Linked DNA regions of Bombyx mori. The protein of the gene in region 1 interacts with the protein of each later gene in a pairwise test. Links are inferred from orthologs where the notes say so. Each region holds a gene or a part of one and is shown on either strand. Other genes may lie near its edges. The genes, in order: TRAF3-interacting protein 1 and WW domain-containing adapter protein with coiled-coil homolog.

What was found.
Region 2: the proteins of TRAF3-interacting protein 1 (region 1) and WW domain-containing adapter protein with coiled-coil homolog interact in a two-hybrid assay, tested with the Homo sapiens proteins (2 studies listed by BioGRID and IntAct). The link is inferred for Bombyx mori from reciprocal best matches to the Homo sapiens genes TRAF3IP1 and WAC.

The regions. Positions count from the first base shown.
Region 1 is NC_085131.1:5,592,611-5,596,871, forward strand, and holds the start of TRAF3-interacting protein 1, read right to left. Parts: upstream 2,902-4,261; 5' UTR 2,719-2,901; coding exon 2,584-2,718; intron 987-2,583; coding exon 869-986; intron 295-868; coding exon 1-294. Other genes in the region: gastrula zinc finger protein XlCGF57.1, read left to right, coding at 4,172-4,261.
Region 2 is NC_085107.1:9,926,299-9,930,132, forward strand, and holds part of WW domain-containing adapter protein with coiled-coil homolog, read right to left. Parts: intron 3,047-3,834; coding exon 2,901-3,046; intron 1-2,900.

The DNA.
Region 1 (4,261 bases):
TAGATGAAGATTTTTCTTTTGCTTCGTTTTTTAGGTTCGATAAATTATCGCTGCTCTTAGAAATTAAGTTTTTTGTACTGTTTTTCTTAGGAATCGATTCTTTAGATCTCGTTTCTTTTATAAGCACAGTATTTTGTGATGCATTTTCTTTATATTTTTTCACTGCTTCTACTGACGATAAATTGTTGTCTAGAGCTTGTGCCAAACATTGTAAGAGTTCATTCGTTTTCTCTGCCTCTTGACCTGCTACTATCTTTGAAGGCTTAATATTGATAGGTTTTCCTGTTGTATAATCTGTATATAAATTTACTAAATTAAGAATACTTGTAAGTTTTTTTAAATACATACTTAATTGTGTTAATATGTGAGTGAGTTCGGGAACACAACGTATTAATCTAATATATATTATATTATAGTAGCTGCGAAAGTTTCGAAAAGAATATGGGCAAGACAGCGGTAGTTATTACATTAATAGATAGAAAAAAAACGGTATCTGATACGGTTATTTGAACCTTACAATATTCTCATAACTTAATATTGCCTGTCTAATACATTAAGACAGAGTAGAGTAGCCATCGTGCTATGGAACTTATAGAACTAAGATTTATAACTCATGTCTCAAGGTGGGTGCTGCCATTTCCGTTGTTGATGTGTATGAACTCCGATAACCACGGGTATGCAGTGAGCTCGGTCACCTATTTTAGCTTTAAAATTTTACATAAAACTAATTTGCAGAACTACTATCCAATTGAAATAGAGACCCTAGTAAAGGTAGGTATTCACTTTTTGAAGTCTATGGACTCCGATATTAGAACCCCAGGCGAGCTGTGAGCACGTTCATCCATCTATACATCTAAAATCAACTTACGTATAACTGAAATGACTTTATTTAAAAACTGTATTTTACTCTCTCTATCTTTAACATTCTCAGAAGTTAACTCGTCCTTTTCAAATAAACCTTCGAAAAATCCAGTTGTTTTTAAAACCTAGAATTAATAATAAAAAGCATTAGAGAAAATAATGATTAGTAAAAACTTAGACTTACATAGGTCTCGATGTCTATGGACTTTGGTAACAGATTAACATCAGCTCAGATCAGGCAGTGAATACAATGGTAATAAAAAATTTGTTACCAGGACATGTTAGCTACTTAAGCCATTTTGTAAGTAATATCAGACTATTTTACTTAGACTTTAATTAACTTTGGGATAACGCTAAATTTTACCCGGGACTTCATAGAAGGTGTAAATATTATTTAATAAAGAATGTTAAGGAGCTATTTAAGGGACCAAAGTCACGCTTTTTAACCGACTTCAAAAGAGGAGGTTATCAATTCGACCACCATATTTTTATCTATGTTGTTCACCGATATCTCGAGAATGCTTGAACTGATTCTGATAATTCTTTTTTTTTGTTCGAAACGCTAGACTTCCCGAATGGTCCTGTAAGTAATCATCAGGATCAGGATCTGATGATGGGATCCTGGAGAAATCGAAAAAATCTACAATTTTCAGCCTATCTTGAAATGATTTGGGTACTTCTTTTTTGTTCTTATTTTATGTCGCCGCGCACCGGCGCGGCGGCGGCGCCTTCTACCTACACCATTATTACGTGCTTGATCATTATTTTTCTTATGCATTTTGCTAATGTTATTTTAAAACTGCGATATCTTCTAGGATACTCATTGAAATCAAATTATGTAAAGGGCCAATTTCTTTTAAATTAAATGCTTGTAATGAATAACGTATTTCTTTGGATAAGTATTAAGTAATATCATCTTTATAAAAACACCGTCACAAATAATGCTTTATTTTAGAACAAATTTGGTTAGTTTAAAAAAGGTTTTAGTGAGCCAATATATGCCGTCGCGGAGTTTTTTTTAAAACTTTTAAAGGGGATTTTTTTGTCATATTTTATTTTAGCGACACTTAAACCGTTTCCGCAGCGCACGCAGCGGAGGCTCCCAAAAGGAAATAAACCCGATTTTGAAACATTATTTATTAGTGCTCCGCTCGTATTGGTCTTAGTGTGATGTTAAATAGCCTATATACACTGAAAGAAATTTTCAAATCGGACCAGTCGTTCCTGAGATTAGCGAGTTCAACCAAACAAACAAACTCTTCAGCTTTTTAATATAAAAAAATAAAGTATAGATAGATATGGTGTTGCTTTATTTAATTTCTGTTCAGATTGGTCATTTTTCTGTAACAGGTCTCGTCAGTGGAATTACACAGCGTAAATACGCCTCTAGGGTTCTAGGGTAGATACCCTAAAACTAAAAAGGCTCCTGTTAGGATAGACGCAAACCGCATCATTACGCGCTCAGTTTTGCTTTTTCTTTACTTGGCCATTTTCATATTTTCATTCTTTATGATTATTCTTTACACACAAACAATAAAGCACGATTTAATTTCGTATTAAAAAAAATATTTTTTTCGTTTATTTTATTAAGGCGTTAAACCTTATCGGCTCAGGGCGCTGAATCTTATCATACGTCACTGGAAAAGTGCATTTTTGAAGTCATTGCTATTTTGAATTTTCTAAGTGTGTTTTTAAAGTGCTTTGAAAAATATATGCACTCACGCTAGTAATAATATCATGTAGAAATCTAAAGGGAGGCTTCTTCAGTAATTTTTCACTTAAAGGCGGCCTCTTCACATATTTTCCGAGAGATGTTTGAGTTTCTTTTATGATCTGTGGATCTATTTCTTTTTCCATTGCACATATTACAAAGTAAACATGAAGCAATAAATATCAAATAACCATATACCTATTCTTAACGACACAAAAAATTGTTGATTACAATAATTTAACAAGAAACATAGGTTTCATAAAGGTTGTCAGGAGTCGTGGTATTTTTAATTTTGTGTACACTGTACGTTCCCATGGAAACGGCTTAGAACCCAAAAATGTTTTGTTGGTCAAAGAACGGGATATATGCCCATACAGCCGGTATCCATTTTCAAGATAGCTTTAATGACAATTGTAAAAAATTCCAGGCAAAACCCATATCGTTTGAATGAAAAGTGAAAAAGAATAAAACATATTTAAAACCAATGAGATGGGATGGAATGGCATTAAATGAACACTCAGTAAAATACAAGGATTTACGGAGCTTTCAAATTGGCAATCTAAAGTAATTTGCGCAACAGCGATCTTGTTTTTATTACGTACTTTCAAAAAGAAGGATTGATTTTTGCTGCTATGAAAATCCACGGTGCCCGCCACGGTGATCTAAAGCAGTGCTTTCCAAACATTTTTCATTCCCATACCCCTTAAACTTTTTTTGAGTTCTCCAACCTTGATAACTCCATACCTAATGTGTCTCATTTCTCTTCGATTAAATCCTGATAACTCCATACTTAAAAAATGTCTCATTTCTGGTTTATCGGTCGTTTTTATTAAATAGTTATTAGAATAAAGTTCATTTAAAACTATATGTTGTAGACAAAACAACATTATCATCATATTTTTAATTTTTTTAAGTTAACTACTTAAACTTCTCAGTATTTACGGCCATTACCAATATAATTTTCACGTACCCCCAATGGGATTCGGAACACCCCAGAGGTACGCATATCCCAAGTTGGTAATTTACAATACACCTTTCCCACTTTCGAAAAAAAATCCACATAATTTTAATTTGAACTCAACATACGCCATATCATGTCAAGAAGCTCATTTAATTTTCATATTGAAAAAAAAAAGCAGACTTACCGTATCATAGATTATCCTACGTAAGCACAAATCAGCACAATTACTAATGTTTATTTATTGTCTGTGTACAATTTGTAGGTCTATAATTTTATCAATAATTCTTTTAAATTGCATCAAAATAATCAATTTATTACAAAATAAATATTTTAACAAGACTTATTTATGTCTTAATTAATCGTTTAAAATTGTGGCTCGATATGCTTTTCCTTAGATCTACACTACATTGGCAAGACTGAATGTAAATTTAATATGCAGACGTGGCGCCTGATGCTCTGTTCTGTCTAAAGTTTACTTGAAGACCAAATTGTGTGAAGCTATACAATTTTCTCAAAGCGCCTGAGTGAAAGTAATATCAAAGTGTATACCCACTAACTTCTTGATTGTTTATGTAGTTTCGTTTTGTAAACTAAATAAACTATTGTTCTGTAAACACGATTTGCAAACTTAATTGAAGATGCCTCGTAAAGGTAAGAGAGTGGGTCGCCCCCCAGGGTCCAAGAATAAAAAACTCAAGTCAAGCAACACAGATCAACCAACAGATATC
Region 2 (3,834 bases), on another chromosome or scaffold:
AAATTAATAATAAATTATAAACCCAAACTGTAATAACATTCAGATTGTTACACACAACTATGCTTAAATAGATGTGGTAATCTACTGCTATGATGAGCAGAATTAACATAAATCTGTAGTAATAGTATGAAAATAGCTGACCACTGTAGCAGCTGTGTGCTAGGTCATAAACTCAGCCAGCACAGCTGTCCAACTCACGTACAATTAGTCAGCTATGCGCAGTGGAAGCTAATAAATCAGTCTTAATATTACTAACTATTTCTATTCACTAATTTTCTTAACCAGGTGGATAGAAACACACTAAACGACCTGACCTAGGTCAGCAGAATGATAGTTTAAACAGAACCGAGCCCTATGCCTACACTACTTCTGCTGACTAGTAACAAAATTAAGTGAGGTTAGACATAAAAAAAATTACAATTCGTGGTAATTACCGTAGATTTTACAAATCTAACCACGCTCTGCTACCAGAAATTGTTCGATTCGAACCCAGCGACCTCGTGGCAGCCTAGGGCTACGGAAACCAGCACGAGGTGCGCGTCGAACATGTGCCGCGATTCGCGGCGCCGTGTGTACTATTTTAACAAAATATCATGCAATCACTCACCGGAACCGATGCCTTCGTCTTCTCACGCCGTATCACTTAGGGAGAAGGGTATGGGGCAGGAATGGATAAGGATTAGCGATGATACACAACTTTAGCGTAGACCGTCAATATACAGGTACCGTCCCGTTCGAGAAGCAAGACAAAGTGACAGATGTCAAATCGCGACGGCACCGTCAAATCGCGACCCGTGTTGCCGTGGTAAGAATTCAAAAACTAACGGATTGGTTTCGAACATTCACTATTCATGTTAAAAATTATCTTATCATGTTCTGTATCTGATTCAATATCAAATAGTTCTGACCTATATTGGCGGTATTCTTGCAAACCAACAAGATGTGAAGAGTATTTTTTTTATACTAAATAGCAAAAATATAAAAAGGTCGAGATGATAGTGATATATTAAATGGAGCGTTCGAAACGTATTTCTTGTCCTATTGACACGTGTGAAATTAAAAATCATTCAAGTCTACAAAACATATTAACTTTTGAGCATACACGAAAAAGAACTGTATTAAATTTCAACCAAAGTATTGAAGCAGATCCGAAGATGATATAGTTTAGATTACACTACACCGGTCTGAAAATATAGTTTCCTGAAAAACACAAAAGAAAAGTACGAGTCTAATATAATCAAGCTAAAATGTAAGTACCTACCCTATTTTATTGTATAATCTAGAAATGTAATAATGTTTAATATGTGTATGTAATATAAAGGTCAAGGGAATTTAGTATCCTGATTATAAATCATCACCAGAACAAAATGTAAAGCAATAACAATAACAACTTCTATTTTTCATTTGGATAACCTTGTTTACTGTTTACCCTATTTATTCATAGTACAGATTTTACAAATAATAATATAATAAGCACAGCAAAAGTAGGACACACAAGCACGTTAACAAAACAATAAAACACTACATACTAACAGTGATTTGTAATTTGTGATAAATAAGATCTTTACTTTTCCTCATTACTTCTTTATCATTTGGCCTACTTATACTATGATATTTAATAGATTTTTATTTTATGGCAAAGCAAGAAACTGATCCGCCTTAACCGACTTACTCAGATTATTTGTCAAATAATCCTGTGACACACGGAAATGTCGATTTTTTTTCCAACCTATTCGCTGATAGCCAAAGGGGCTATTCTAGCTACGCCTGGGCGGATATGTGAGCTCACAGGCTCGACCTGAGAGAATTTTCTAACATGTCTATGGGCTCGAGTAACCACTTAATACCAGGTGGGCTGTGAGCTCGTCCACCCATCCAAGCAATAAAAAATAATAAAAAATAAACAAAAAATATCTGCCCTAGCAAAAGCAGCATTTCGCAGAATCTATCACCTTATCGGATACGCGACCCACTAAGAAGATCCGGCGATAAACTCAGTGGGCTGTGTCTAAGGGTTAATTTTCTCGTCGGGCCCTTCGTCGCAAGCGACGGGTTCGACGCTTCGCGAATGCATCTACTACCGGATCGGAATCGCGACCCCTTGAGAAGATCCGCCGAGAAACTTAGTGGGCTGTGACTATAGGTTAGTTTACTCCGTAGTAAATTATCAGTGTCATATGTATTGTCTTAGTATCAACAAATAAAAATTGTTAAAGTCATAATAAAATTAATAGAACAATTAACAACTACTCTTTTTTTAATGCCGCTATATTTTGATGGTATATACGTTAAAGTATTATACCGAACCAATACGAATCATTTTAACACGTAATGATAGTAAAATTAAGGCATACACAAAAAAAAACCTTTTCTTTGGTAAGATTCCATTATGTCTTCAATTAATATCAAATTATGTTTTAGAGTAAGTTGAGTGTCTGGCAAACAATTCATTGATTTAATTTAGTATAAACTTTCAATATAAGCACATTTTGAAACTAGGATATATATTTTAAGTTTATAAGTATTCTAGCCGTACTCGCCCGCTTCGCTGGGCATTTAAAATTAACATTATTATTTATTGTCATTATTATTAGGGAGTCCAACACTCATATAAATATTAGCCTATATGGATACTTAATGGTAAGTACATGTATTTTCTACATGGATACCAAGTTTCAAGTCAATCGGAAGCATGGTTCAGTAGTTATAACGGAACATCCGTAAAAACCACTGTAGATTTATATATATATACATATATATCAACATTCGTTAAGCAAAACAATAGATTTTAGCAATTAAATTAATTCGCTAAATGGCGGCATGTTGCTCATAGGATGGGAACTAGAAAATAAATAAAAGCTTTAAACTCTTAAACAAGTAGCACAAGAAAGATGACAAACCTGTTTTTCGAGTATATCGGCTGGCCAACCGGTAACATGCGATGTTAAATCAGACCGGACGTAATTCACAAGTGAAGGCGTCAACATAGGCGGTGCGTGCTGTAGCGTGCCGCCGACAACTGATGAATAGCTTCCCAGACATTCCACTGAAACACAGAAAGTCATCACGTCATCATGTTACCGTAGAGGTGCAGACAAGATTTGTTCTAATTTCGAAATTGTATCGAAGACTAGGATTTTTGGCAGATCGTTTCCAATATCACAAAATCTAATGTTTTTTTGTAGGCAACAGACGTAAAGGTGGATTTCATCGAAACGTACAGTTGAAATCAATCTGATGAATCTGAAATCAATGCACAGATTCATACAAAGTTTAGTTAGTTGTTTGCAAAACCAAAACTAGTATTTTTATTTTAGTTTTAGTACTCATTTTAAATTCATTTTGCGTGAATTAGGTTCGGCAGTTACGTCGTAAATTAGCATTCTGTCATTTATTATATTCGTGATAAATTGAGCAATAAGTTACTAGAACATAAACAGTGTTTGGTTTGATTGAGTAACCTTTTATTTATTTATTTTTTATTGCTTAGATGGGTGAACGGGCTCACAGCCCACCTGGTGTTAAGTGGTTACTGAAACCTATAGACACCTACAACGTAAATGCCACCACCCACCTTGAGATAAAGGTTCTAAGGTCTCAGTATAGTTACAACGGCTGCCCCACCCTTCAAAACAGAAACGCATTACGGCAGAAATAGGCAGGGTGGTGGTACCTACCCGTGCGGACTCACAAGAGGTCCTACCACCAGTAATTACGCAAATTATAATTTTGCGGGTTTATTTTTTATTTTTATTACACGATGTTATTCCTTCACCATGGAAGTCAATCGTGTGAACATTTGTTAAGTACGTATTACATTAGAAAAATTGGTAC